3 linked regions of the Kluyveromyces lactis genome follow. The protein of the gene in region 1 binds, or shares a complex with, the protein of each later gene. Links are inferred from orthologs where the notes say so. Each region holds a gene or a part of one and is shown on either strand. Other genes may lie near its edges. The genes, in order: SSL2, TFB4 and SSL1.

Evidence for each region.
Region 2: SSL2 (region 1) and TFB4 share a complex: the UniProt entries of both Saccharomyces cerevisiae proteins name them as parts of the 7-subunit TFIIH core complex. The link is inferred for Kluyveromyces lactis from reciprocal best matches to the Saccharomyces cerevisiae genes SSL2 and TFB4.
Region 3: SSL2 (region 1) and SSL1 share a complex: the UniProt entries of both Saccharomyces cerevisiae proteins name them as parts of the 7-subunit TFIIH core complex. The link is inferred for Kluyveromyces lactis from reciprocal best matches to the Saccharomyces cerevisiae genes SSL2 and SSL1.

What each region holds. Positions count from the first base shown.
Region 1 is NC_006041.1:1,154,021-1,158,307, forward strand, and holds SSL2 (TFIIH/NER complex ATPase/helicase subunit SSL2), read right to left. Parts: upstream 2,801-4,287; coding exon 224-2,800; downstream 1-223. Other genes in the region: SRP40 (Srp40p), read left to right, coding at 3,326-4,287. UniProt on the Saccharomyces cerevisiae protein: ATP-dependent DNA translocase. Component of the general transcription and DNA repair factor IIH (TFIIH) core complex. When complexed to CDK-activating kinase (CAK), involved in RNA transcription by RNA polymerase II.
Region 2 is NC_006038.1:755,914-758,987, reverse strand, and holds TFB4 (TFIIH/NER complex subunit TFB4), read left to right. Parts: upstream 1-1,416; coding exon 1,417-2,430; downstream 2,431-3,074. Other genes in the region: tRNA methylation protein TRM732, read right to left, coding at 1-971; KLLA0_B08547g (uncharacterized protein), read right to left, coding at 2,476-2,841; BRR1 (Brr1p), read left to right, coding at 3,073-3,074. UniProt on the Saccharomyces cerevisiae protein: Component of the general transcription and DNA repair factor IIH (TFIIH) core complex, which is involved in general and transcription-coupled nucleotide excision repair (NER) of damaged DNA and, when complexed to TFIIK, in RNA transcription by RNA polymerase II.
Region 3 is NC_006041.1:850,020-853,637, reverse strand, and holds SSL1 (TFIIH/NER complex subunit SSL1), read right to left. Parts: upstream 2,052-3,618; coding exon 585-2,051; downstream 1-584. Other genes in the region: KLLA0_E09593g (uncharacterized protein), read right to left, coding at 2,343-3,618. UniProt on the Saccharomyces cerevisiae protein: Component of the general transcription and DNA repair factor IIH (TFIIH) core complex, which is involved in general and transcription-coupled nucleotide excision repair (NER) of damaged DNA and, when complexed to TFIIK, in RNA transcription by RNA polymerase II.

The sequences.
Region 1 (4,287 bases):
TACAATATCAATACTGTTGAAATTCACTGTGCAAAAGCAATCATTTCTTTGTTTATTTTAGACAGCGGACGAAAACATCTTTTTATAGTGATTATATGTGGTATATTTAAGTATTAGGATTTTATAAAACTGATTCGTGATGCGATTTTTGGAAAGATGATTCATTTGCTGTTTAAAGTATGCCAGTTTAATACGGATGATAAATTATAAAACCCAATATTGTTCATTTATTTGCACTTCTATAGTACATTTTACGGATCAATGGATGATGATCTCTTAAGTCTTTATTCTTATTGGAACTGTATTCTAGGTATGCCATATCCTCACCACCAGCCAAACCAGCCAAAGATCCTTCGCTCTTAACAGCCTTAGATTTGTTCCTTGGTCTCTTGTTCCCACCATTCTTCCAAATGTAGCTATCGTTATCCTCACCTGCTTCAATGCCTGCAGCTTCTTCGTTTTTGAGAAGAACTTCTTGCAAAAGTTCTCTACGTTCTCTAGCAGAAGAATATGCTAGATTAGGCAAGTTTTCCATACCATGTAGATGGGTGATAACCTTGAAAGCATAACCTTGATCAACTAAAAATGCCTGTCTCTTTGTGGAGTAGTACATTTCTTGAGTATCTTTAGAAACTAGAGAATAGAAGAAGGCGTTGAACCCTTCATCGTTACGTCTCTTAGCTCTTAAAATTCTACCCAATCTTTGTGCTTCTTGACGTCTAGACCCGTAATGAGACGAAATTTGGATCAAACAAGTCGCCTCTGGCAAATCAATCGAAGTATCTCCAACCTTTGATAAGAAAATGGTATTGATTTGGTCATTATATTGAAAATTCTGCAAAATATTCATACGCTCTTGTTGTGGCGTGGAACCGTAAATGAAAGGCTTACCTAGCTTCAAAGCATATTCTTGAAGAGCGTAGACGTTATCTGAAAAGACGATAATTTTATCACCTCTCTTTTCATGATATTGAATCAAAAATTGACACGCCTGGAACTTGGTTGGATTCATAATATATAGTAGCATTCTTTTTCTCGCATTCTCTCTTAGATATTCTTGGTAAAACTCTGCAGTCATTGGACACCAAACTTCCGCACACTGCACATTAGCAATGTGACCTTTCTGTGAAAGTTCCATCCAATTAGCTTCGTAAAGTTTTGGACCAATCAAGAAATTCAAATCACTAATCTTGTCATCTTCACGCACCAAAGTTGCAGTTAAACCTAATTTTGCATGTGCGGCAATAGTGGACACAACACGTCTAAACATGGCTGCAGGTACGACATGTACTTCATCCAAAATAATGAAACCCCATTCTCTACCCGTTAAGAAATCCATAACCTTTTGAGAATCGTACGATCTATTTCTAGTGTTAGCAACCATGGAATAAGTCGAGACCACCAGACCAGATTCAGTTTGGAACATTTCTTTGTTATCTGATGTGAAGACGGCAACATTTTCAGGCTGGAGCGTACACCACTGAAGGAATTGTTGTCTCCATTGCATGACTGACACTGACGAAGTACAAAGCACGATCACAGACTTTTTGATAGTACATGCCGCTGTGATACCGACCAAAGTCTTACCAGCACCGCATGGTAACACAATAATACCACTTCTTGCACGACCGTTACCGAACATTTTGCTCAAGGATTTTTCCTGATATGGTCTGATTTGAGTTGATGGTTTCAAATCGATATCTAAATCTGGATTTCTTCGATCGTTCCTGAAATCATATTCTTCCAACACCGGATAGTCAAGTTCTTGACATCTTTTCTTCACAATTTCGACAGATGCATTGTCAATTTCGAAAGCATGAACCGCATCTATATCATCGTCTTCTTCTTCAAGTTCCTTATTGGCCCCCACGACAGCTGAAAAGACAGCTTCCACATCGTTAGGATCCACTCCCTCTGCATCTACCATCTTATTCGCCATGGTTTTCTTAACCGCAGCATCCACTGCAGCATCGGTATCGATTCTTAGATTACCAATGATTTGATCGTTTAACAACATTTGCAAGATATCAGCTTGAGAAGTTTCCACGAAATATCTATTATGCTTAATGACCAATTTCACCTTACCGTATGATACAGTTGCACTCTTAATGAAGTTGATAATCGAAGGTGCAACAGGAACCTTGGACAATCTGTCCAATACTGCTATGATATCTTCAGTTTCCAAACCAACCGAAACCGCAGCATACAAAGAGTAAGCCGTAATTCTGTACTCATGAATATGAGATGGTCTAGAAACGGGTTCTGCGATCGTCACAAGAAAATCCTGTGCTTGTTCTGCCAATGGAGAGAATGATTCTAAGATCACACGTCCATCGTTAGGCGATATCCATAAAGGCCGCGAGGCATGATCCGGCTTCAATTTTAAGTAGCTGAAATCGTTAGTCTTGAACATTCCTGAAACAACGTCAGGCTCAAAATCAGGGGGAATATCGTCCAAATGTGCATGAAGGATATCATCCTTTGCTGCTAGATTATGGTTCATTCCACTACCAGCAGTTGCAGCAGCAGCAGATCTAGAAGAAGAAGAACTTTTCTTCGATTTCCGACTCAAAAGAGGATTCACTTGAGGAGCAGGAGCGTTCGCCTGCATTAGAGATTCCTTTAACTCAGCTTCCTCTTCTTCATCTAAGACATCATCGTCGATATCTGGGGCAATATCCCCGTATTCTTCATCGTCTGTAACCAAAGAGTCATCTGAAAAAACCGTGTCCTGCACTAATTTCTCCTTTCCACCTCTACTTCTTGTGTGATATGAACGCTTCACTACCTCATCTTCCATAATGACACAATTAGTGTACAGATAGACTCCGGGGATAGACCTTAATTCCCTTGTCCGTCCTTGGACTTTGATTCTTAAACATCTAATTAAAGTTAAAGTTCTCTTAAAATCATCTTTCAGATTAATAATGTTGAGGCAAAAATGATTACCCGGACAAACAATATAACCAGAATGAGCCAAAAACCCAATATAAGTTAGAGTTGGATGACCAACTAATAACCATTGCAACCACTAGGTAGTTCCACGATTAACAATACAACAACGAGGTTGCCGAATAGACGAAAAGGCCGGTTTTGCTAGTTGTTTTTACAGTTTTAGTAGTTGTAAGACTGAAACAACCCATACACCACACCTCAGGACATCGTCACATAGTACGGCAAAAGAAACGTATTGAAAAAAAATTCGAGATTAATAGCGTTATCCAAACGAGATGAGCTTGCGATGAGGTAGGTTCAGATCTTATCCAAGAGCGATTACGATAGGATCACCAGTGGTTTGGGTGAGGAAATAGTCTAATTTTTACAGATGAGTGTTAAGAAGCAAAGTTCCAAGTCTTCAGTGCCAAAATTGACGAAGAAAGATGACAAAAAGGTAAAATCATCGTCAAGTGGTTCAGAGTCTAGTTCCAATTCCAGCGACAGCTCGAGTTCAGGTTCAGGTTCAGGTTCAGGTTCAGGTTCAGATTCGGATTCGGATTCTGGCTCAGACTCTAGTTCAAGCTCTAGCTCAGATTCAGAATCGAACTCTGATAGTAGCTCCAGTTCCAGTTCCAGTTCCAGTTCCAGTTCCAGTTCAGACTCAGACTCCAGTTCAGACTCAGATTCTAGTTCCAGCTCAGACTCTAGTTCCAGCTCAGACTCTGATTCCGACTCAGACTCTAGCTCCAGTGCCAGCTCAGAATCCGATGATGAGGACGAAAAAGACATCAAAATTAAGATAAAAGATGAAAAATCTGAGCCAGTAGCAGTGGAAGTAAAGGTGTCGAAATCGTCAAACTCGGACTCGGAATCTAGTTCTGATTCTAGCTCCGATTCAGACTCTAGCTCCGATTCAAGCTCTGACTCAGACTCCGATTCAAACTCTAGCTCTAGCTCTAGTTCAGATTCAGATTCAGACTCTAGCTCTAGCTCCAGCTCGGACTCTAGTTCGGACTCTAGTTCAGACTCAGACTCAGACTCAGACTCAGACTCAGACTCAGACTCAGATTCGTCCTCAGATTCGTCCTCCTCATCTAGCGACTCCGATAGCAGCGATAGCGAAACTGCAGTAGAAACCGAAACCAACAGCAAACGTCCTCTTGAAACTGAATCTGATTCCACTGAAAATTCCAAAGAATCATCACAAGAACCTTCAACAAAGAAACAAATGATTTCAGCTGGCGTTGATGAAGTATTGCCTGGACAAAGAAAACATTTCTCCAGAGTCGAAAGAGAGAAGATTGCATTTGAACACGAAGTCCTGACAGATAATACATACAAAGGTGCCGC
Region 2 (3,074 bases), on another chromosome or scaffold:
GAATATGTAAGTAGTTCAAAGGTAGGAAGCTTATATTGATCCTGTTGCAGTAGACACCTAACGTCTTCCAGACTGATATATTTTTCATCATGGAAAGGCTCTTCTTCTATAGCCAACTCTTGTCCGATTTTCAGCAATGATAACAGTAATGTATTAGAAAAACCTTCATGTTCTCTTATGAATATGCCAAAACTTTCTGGAAGCTGCTTGAAAACATTTGACAAGACATAAAGTTGAATCTTTTTCGTATATTTAGCATCGTTCAAATAATGGCAGCATAAAGGCTTCCATAATAACAACCATTGTTCTATCGAAGATTCATCAAAGTGGTATTTATACCAATTTAGTAACACGTTAGATAAACACTTTCCAACTTGTGTACACAGAGTTTCCGCCCAGACCAAACTGAGACAAGTCTCAACGAAATTTGGTTTCAATCGCAGAATCACATATAGGTCGATCTGACCACTGAAGATGTCTAACAAATAATATTGAACTTTCATATTTTCTTGTAATGATAAAACAGTTTCAACCCACCCATAAAGCACCGTCTCCATCAGTGTACTCCCATACAAGTGGTTCATTAGCTGCAAAAGCTTCTCAAACATATTTCTCAATGGGATCTCCATGGACACAGTATTGTCAGTCCAAAAATCAATAACGTAATGAAATAAAAATATCCCCTGATCAATGCTGAACATAATTTCTTTCACAGTCATCTCAAATTCATTAGGTTTGTCGTTACCGCTGTTCTTACCTTTCTTTAAAACTTGGTATATCTTTAGCATTAACAGGCTCATCACATCAACACTCCGCACTCTTTCTTTATCGTTGATCCCAGTATCAGCAAGAATACCACTAATATCTTCAAAACAACATAAAAACTGATCACATTCATGCTGTGTGATGCTGGCCTCTGGCTTATACTTAAGAAGCCAGTGCTTCCATTCGCTTACAGCATCCACAGTCATGCTATGCAAACGCTCTCAAACACTACCTGTTGGAATATCAAAAAAAATTATAAACAGAAGACGATTAGCTTTGAGTACCGGTAACCTTTAATATTTGCTCACTGGATAACTAGGAAACAAATGGCAGCTCTTTCAGTAACACAAGATGACTCTCAGCGGTTCGTTCTTTGCTTGTGTCGATGTCTTGTTCATTATTTTTTTCGAGTTAAAGCTGCTACATTTTGGGGCCAATGTTTTCGGGCGGCCAGAAATTTCAAGTAACATGAATTTGGGAAAGGCACATTTAGAGTTGAAGCTGATCTTAAAGGAAGATCAAATCGTAGAGTAAAGCTAGACCCATAGATTAAATTAAAACGCTTCATATACCATAAAGGATCGAATACAACTTTGTGAAATCAGGTTTTTATTATTAATAGCCTTTTCTTTGAAAGAGGAAGCGGTTAAAATGGATGCCATCGCTGATACAGTGTTCCAAGGAACCAAATCGAAGACTCAAGAAATAGAGGATACGCCTTCTCTTCTCACTGTTGTGGTTGATACCAGCATTCATTCATGGGTCCAGCTTACGAAACAACAATCTGGTAGTGGTTCGGAAGGAAGTTCTGGTGAGAAGCAACTTATAGAGGCGTTGAAGTCCATCGTAGTGTTTTTGAATGCGCATTTGGCTTTCAATTCAGGAAACCAGGTGTGCCTCATTGCTGCACACTCCGAGGGTATGAAATATTTGTATCCATCGGCTGATTCGAAACCTAGTATGTCTATGGTAAGTTCTGACATGTATAGAGGGTTCCGTAATGTGGATGAGATAGTGGTGGAGCAATGGTATAGGTTGTTCAAGGAAGAATTAGAAGGTCAAGAGAGTAAGGTTTCGATGAAGAGTAGTTTAAGTGGAGCGATGTCCAGTGCATTAACTTACGTGAACAGAATCCTGAAGGAAAACGAGAATACAAGCTTGAGAAGTCGGTTGCTTGTGATAACGTGCGGTACATCCCAGGGGAAAGATGAGATATTCCAGTATATCCCAATAATGAACTGTATATTCTCGGCAACCAAAATGAAATGTTCCATCGATGTGGTTAAGATTGGTGGGGGTATAGAAAGCACTTTCTTGCAACAAGCAACTGATGCCACTAGTGGGGTGTACTTACATGTAGAAAACACAAGAGGTTTAATTCAATATTTATCAACGGCCATGTTTATAGATCCGTCTTTGAGAAATGTGATAATTAAACCAAATCAAGGGTCTGTCGATTTTAGAACTTCATGTTTTCTAACGGGTAAAGTGGTCGCTGTCGGATTTGTGTGTAGTGTTTGCTTATGTGTGCTTTCAGTGATACCTCCAGGTCAGAAATGTCCTGCTTGTGACTCGCCGTTTGACAGTAAGATTATCGCCAGACTCAGAAGAAAGCCTGTATTGAGCAATGGTGTACCGAAGAAGAAAAATGTTAGTAATAAATAGCATCGGGGTTTTCCATACCTATTTAAAGTACATATATAATCACTGTCAGCAACCACTATTTAAAATATCAAAGTCAAACTGATCACTATAGTAATGGTGTCTCTTTAAATGATCGATTCTCTCGTTTGAATTTGAAAACGTCATCGAACAATCTTGTTCCAGGCATCTTAGCCTGTAATTACCGTTCTTGAACGGATTATGAAATTCTTCGATATGTAATTCCATCCAATACTCACTAGCAAAGTTCCTTAAGCATTGCGTACATACGTTCTCGTGCATCTGGCTGACATGACTAGGGTACAATTCTATAGGAACCCATTCATGATCACAAGGTGGGTCTGAACAAAGCACGGCATTACCATTTAATTCATATCCCCCGCAATGCTCTTCTGATGATCTCCGTTTACTCATATATGACTAAGAGTACAGCACATTAGTGCATATCCTTCCAGTGCATTCGGTCCAGTTGTAGCGTTATAAGAAAGTTTTTTTGTCCACTATTGATTATTTTGATGATCCAAATAGTGAAAAGACAGACCAAAACCTTAAAGTTCTGAAGTTGAGTGATGAGATGAGATAACTAAAAGAAAACGGAGGCAATACATACCACCAGTTCAGTGATAAGCCATTGGATTCCATCAAAT
Region 3 (3,618 bases), about 300 kb from region 1:
GTTTAATTGTGAAGAGGATGAGTCCGATTTAATTAGTGAAATCAGTTAAACCGGATTGACAGCAGACTAAAGTGATTGGAAAAATCAACAGTAAGAAGCCAATGCAAATGTAAAGAGACGTACGGTTGAACTCCCTGTGAATCTCAAGTTTGAAAGAACCTACCTGTCCTAGAGATATAGCACAAACTTGATGGTAACAGGAAGTTTATTCAGTACAGTATTTTTTTTTTGTGAGGTCGTTGAAAAATCGGTTGGTATCTTGTTGCCTTTTCTATTCGAGGTTTCATTTTGCAATTTCTCCGATGAGCTGAAAAATTTTGAAAATAATCGTTACTTTTTATTTTGTCACAATCTGAGATGCACTAAACAAGCAGATAATGATTAGGAGATGAGATTTATACAATTGTAGGGAAAGCGGTATCCAGCCAACCCAGGGGGAGTACATTGTAAATAGATGTAAAGGATGTGAGTGCCTTTTTTTTAGTAACCATTCAATGTTATATACAATTTGAGTCAATGTTTAAAAGTCGTTCTTGTGATATTTTCTTCTTGGAACTACCGAGAAAATGATTAGCGGGTTAAATTCATTTGATATTTACATTGATTGGTTTGGACTCACACCCAGGGCAGTTGTGTAACGTTTCATGAATGAATACATCACAATCTATACAAAAATCTTGATCACACTCTTCACATCTGTACCTGCTGCTTGTTAATAGTTCGCCTGTTTTGTTATTTCTTAAGGTGGGGAATCGCTTTTGGCAGCCGAAGCAATAGTCTGTAGGGAAGCTATCTGACACTGGGACTTCTTGGAAAGTCTTAAGAGGCATCAAATGATGATACGATCTTGCTAAATGTGTTGAGAGTATCAACATCAAATCACAACTCGGACATACTGTCGGTAGAGAGCAAACCTTAGTTTTGCAATTGGGACAGACGTAACCACCATGGACTAGAGTCGAATGGCAAGCACAAAATGATGGTGTGTCCTCAAATACTCTGGTAGGGAATCCCATCTTAACCAAGGTGAACCCTTTGTTCACTTTGCTCACCGGTAACGGTGTCACTGCACTTGTGAATAGTTCCTTAAAATGATGATCGTTCAATATAATCCCATAATATGAGTTATCTCCATAATTCGTCTGCTTACACAACTCTTTGCAAACGGAGACTTGAGCAGATAGACCAATAACTTTTGCTCTAATATTCTCATGTACCAATGAGCCAATCGTTTGATGAATATCACCTGGATCTGTAGTTGATAATGCACCGAAAACGATGAGTACTTCTCTAGTACAATGCGCTGGAACATGAAGTAAGAGACCTCTAGCCATCTCTAAAGCATTTTGTAAAGAAGCGTTCCCCTTTGGTTCTTGCCTACGAAGCATCTTTAAAGCATCGATATGTTCTTGAGGGTTACCACTGACCTGCGATATTAGCTGAGCTAAACCATCACGCATAACAACTACACCAATTTGAGAAATAGGATTTTGATCAAAATACTCATGAATAAAGTCTACAGCATATTGTACTGTCATTGCATATCTATTAGGTCGCAAATCTTTTTCCATCATTGCTTCGCTACAATCCAATACCAAGATAAGGGTTCTGATAATACCTCTTTGATACGGAGTAACCGTCTTCTCTGCTGCCCTTTTTTTTCTTGCTTCAACTATGCTTGCCACAATAGCAGCGATATTGCCTTCATCATCAACTTTGACAAGGTCCCAACTTCTTTGAATGTCATCTTCCCAGGCATAACCACCATTGACACCTTGTAAGTTCTTGTTGGACAGCTTCTTCTTCTTTTTCTTCTTCATTTTTCTTGGATCACGACTTCTCTTTGATAGTTGTGAATGAACTCGTTCATCCTCTTCATCATCACTAGAATTCCCATTGCCTGCACCATCCGAATCTGCAGTTTCTTTTGTTCTAACATGCTTCTTCACTTTGTTTTTCAGCACTTTGGTCTGACCATCTTGTCTATGTCTCTTGTTAGTGATTCCAATGATCCGTTCATCGTCTGATTCACTATCTATAATAGGAGGCATTATCGTAATCAAAAACGATTAATAAAATTTGACCAGAGTACAGCCAAATGTAGTCCAATTAAAAAATCGACTAATGCCTGGAGCTCTACGTCTATTCAGCCAAATTGGTGTAGCGTTACTCTTTAACCTTCAAATCTTGCTTCACTTGTTATAAATTCACTAAATTTTCTTACATGATTTTGATCATGTGATCATATGATCAAAAAGTTTCAACACAAAATAGCGAGGGTTGTATGTAAAACCTAATAATCACTGATTTTATTTAACGAACTACACCATTATACTTGAATCTTAAACGCTGAATTCTTGTGGTGGACACTCTTTATCTGAATCCCAGTCCAATGGTTTTTCACTCATGTAGTATTCGATGGTACCACCGTGTTCGAATAGCTCGGAATGTCTAAACCAGTTCTTATCGAGTTCTTTGTCATTGATAACAACTTTCTCAATGAAGTTGTTTCTGACACCAAATTCTGAATATAAGTTATGTGCAAAAATTTCAATATCTGGAACGTTAGGCATGCTTTTAAGTTTCAAATAATTAACTTTCGGACTTGTTAATAAATAAATATCAGTACCAGCCACGGGATAAAAACCTAGAAGGGCAAAGGTTAGCCACGCTTGCATGGCTCCTGCATCAGAATTCCCTGGCAAACCACGCGGTCCCGTCTTAAACTTTGTATTTATGATCCAATCCACTAATGCTGACGTTTTATCTTGTCTGTTAATGTACGCGTAAAGATAAGGTGTCAAAAAACTTGGTTCATTGCCAATATCAACCACGTTCTCATGGCCACAGAACGCATACATATCATCTAAACGTTTTTCAAACATTGCTTTCGAACCAATGTATTCTAATAAAGTCTTCATATCAAAAGGCACCGTCCACCCATATTCCACGGGTTTTCCTTCATATTCATCGTCTCTCCAATAGCAACCAAAGCATGTAAACGGATCATATCTATGTTGAGCAAACGTACCGTCAGAATTCCTAGGTTGTACGAATCCGGTGTAGTCATAGTGTATATTCACACTTTTAGCATTTGGGTTCCAAATGTTACGCCAGTTTTTCGATCTTTCAAGGTATGTCTTTGCTAAATCTTTTTTACCGAGACCTTTGGCAACGATATAAAGGGCAAAATCGTTATACGAATACTCCATAGTTCTGGTGACACTTCTTGAGTAATTTCTTGTTATGTACCCCAATTCAAGCCATTCTTTTAAAGCGCCTCTCCCAAATTTGTTTGTCGAGTCGTTAGCCATAGGGTCCTCAATGTAAGGCGGCTCCACTTCTGCATTGGTATACATAGCTTGGAAGCCCTTCTCCCAATCGATCCCTTGATGAACGTTCTTAATGAAAGCATCCGCCAACATGATATCTGAGTTGCTACCCCCTTGTGTTCTTCCAGATCTGTCACCAGATCTGCCATCCGGCATGAAACCTTCAACCTCCCAGATATCAATTAAAGAACGTACCATTTCTGCACCATGGTCTTGTGATATGATATTAATCAAGGGGTGAAGACATCTGAACGTATCCCAAAGTGTGAACCAATCATCGTAATAT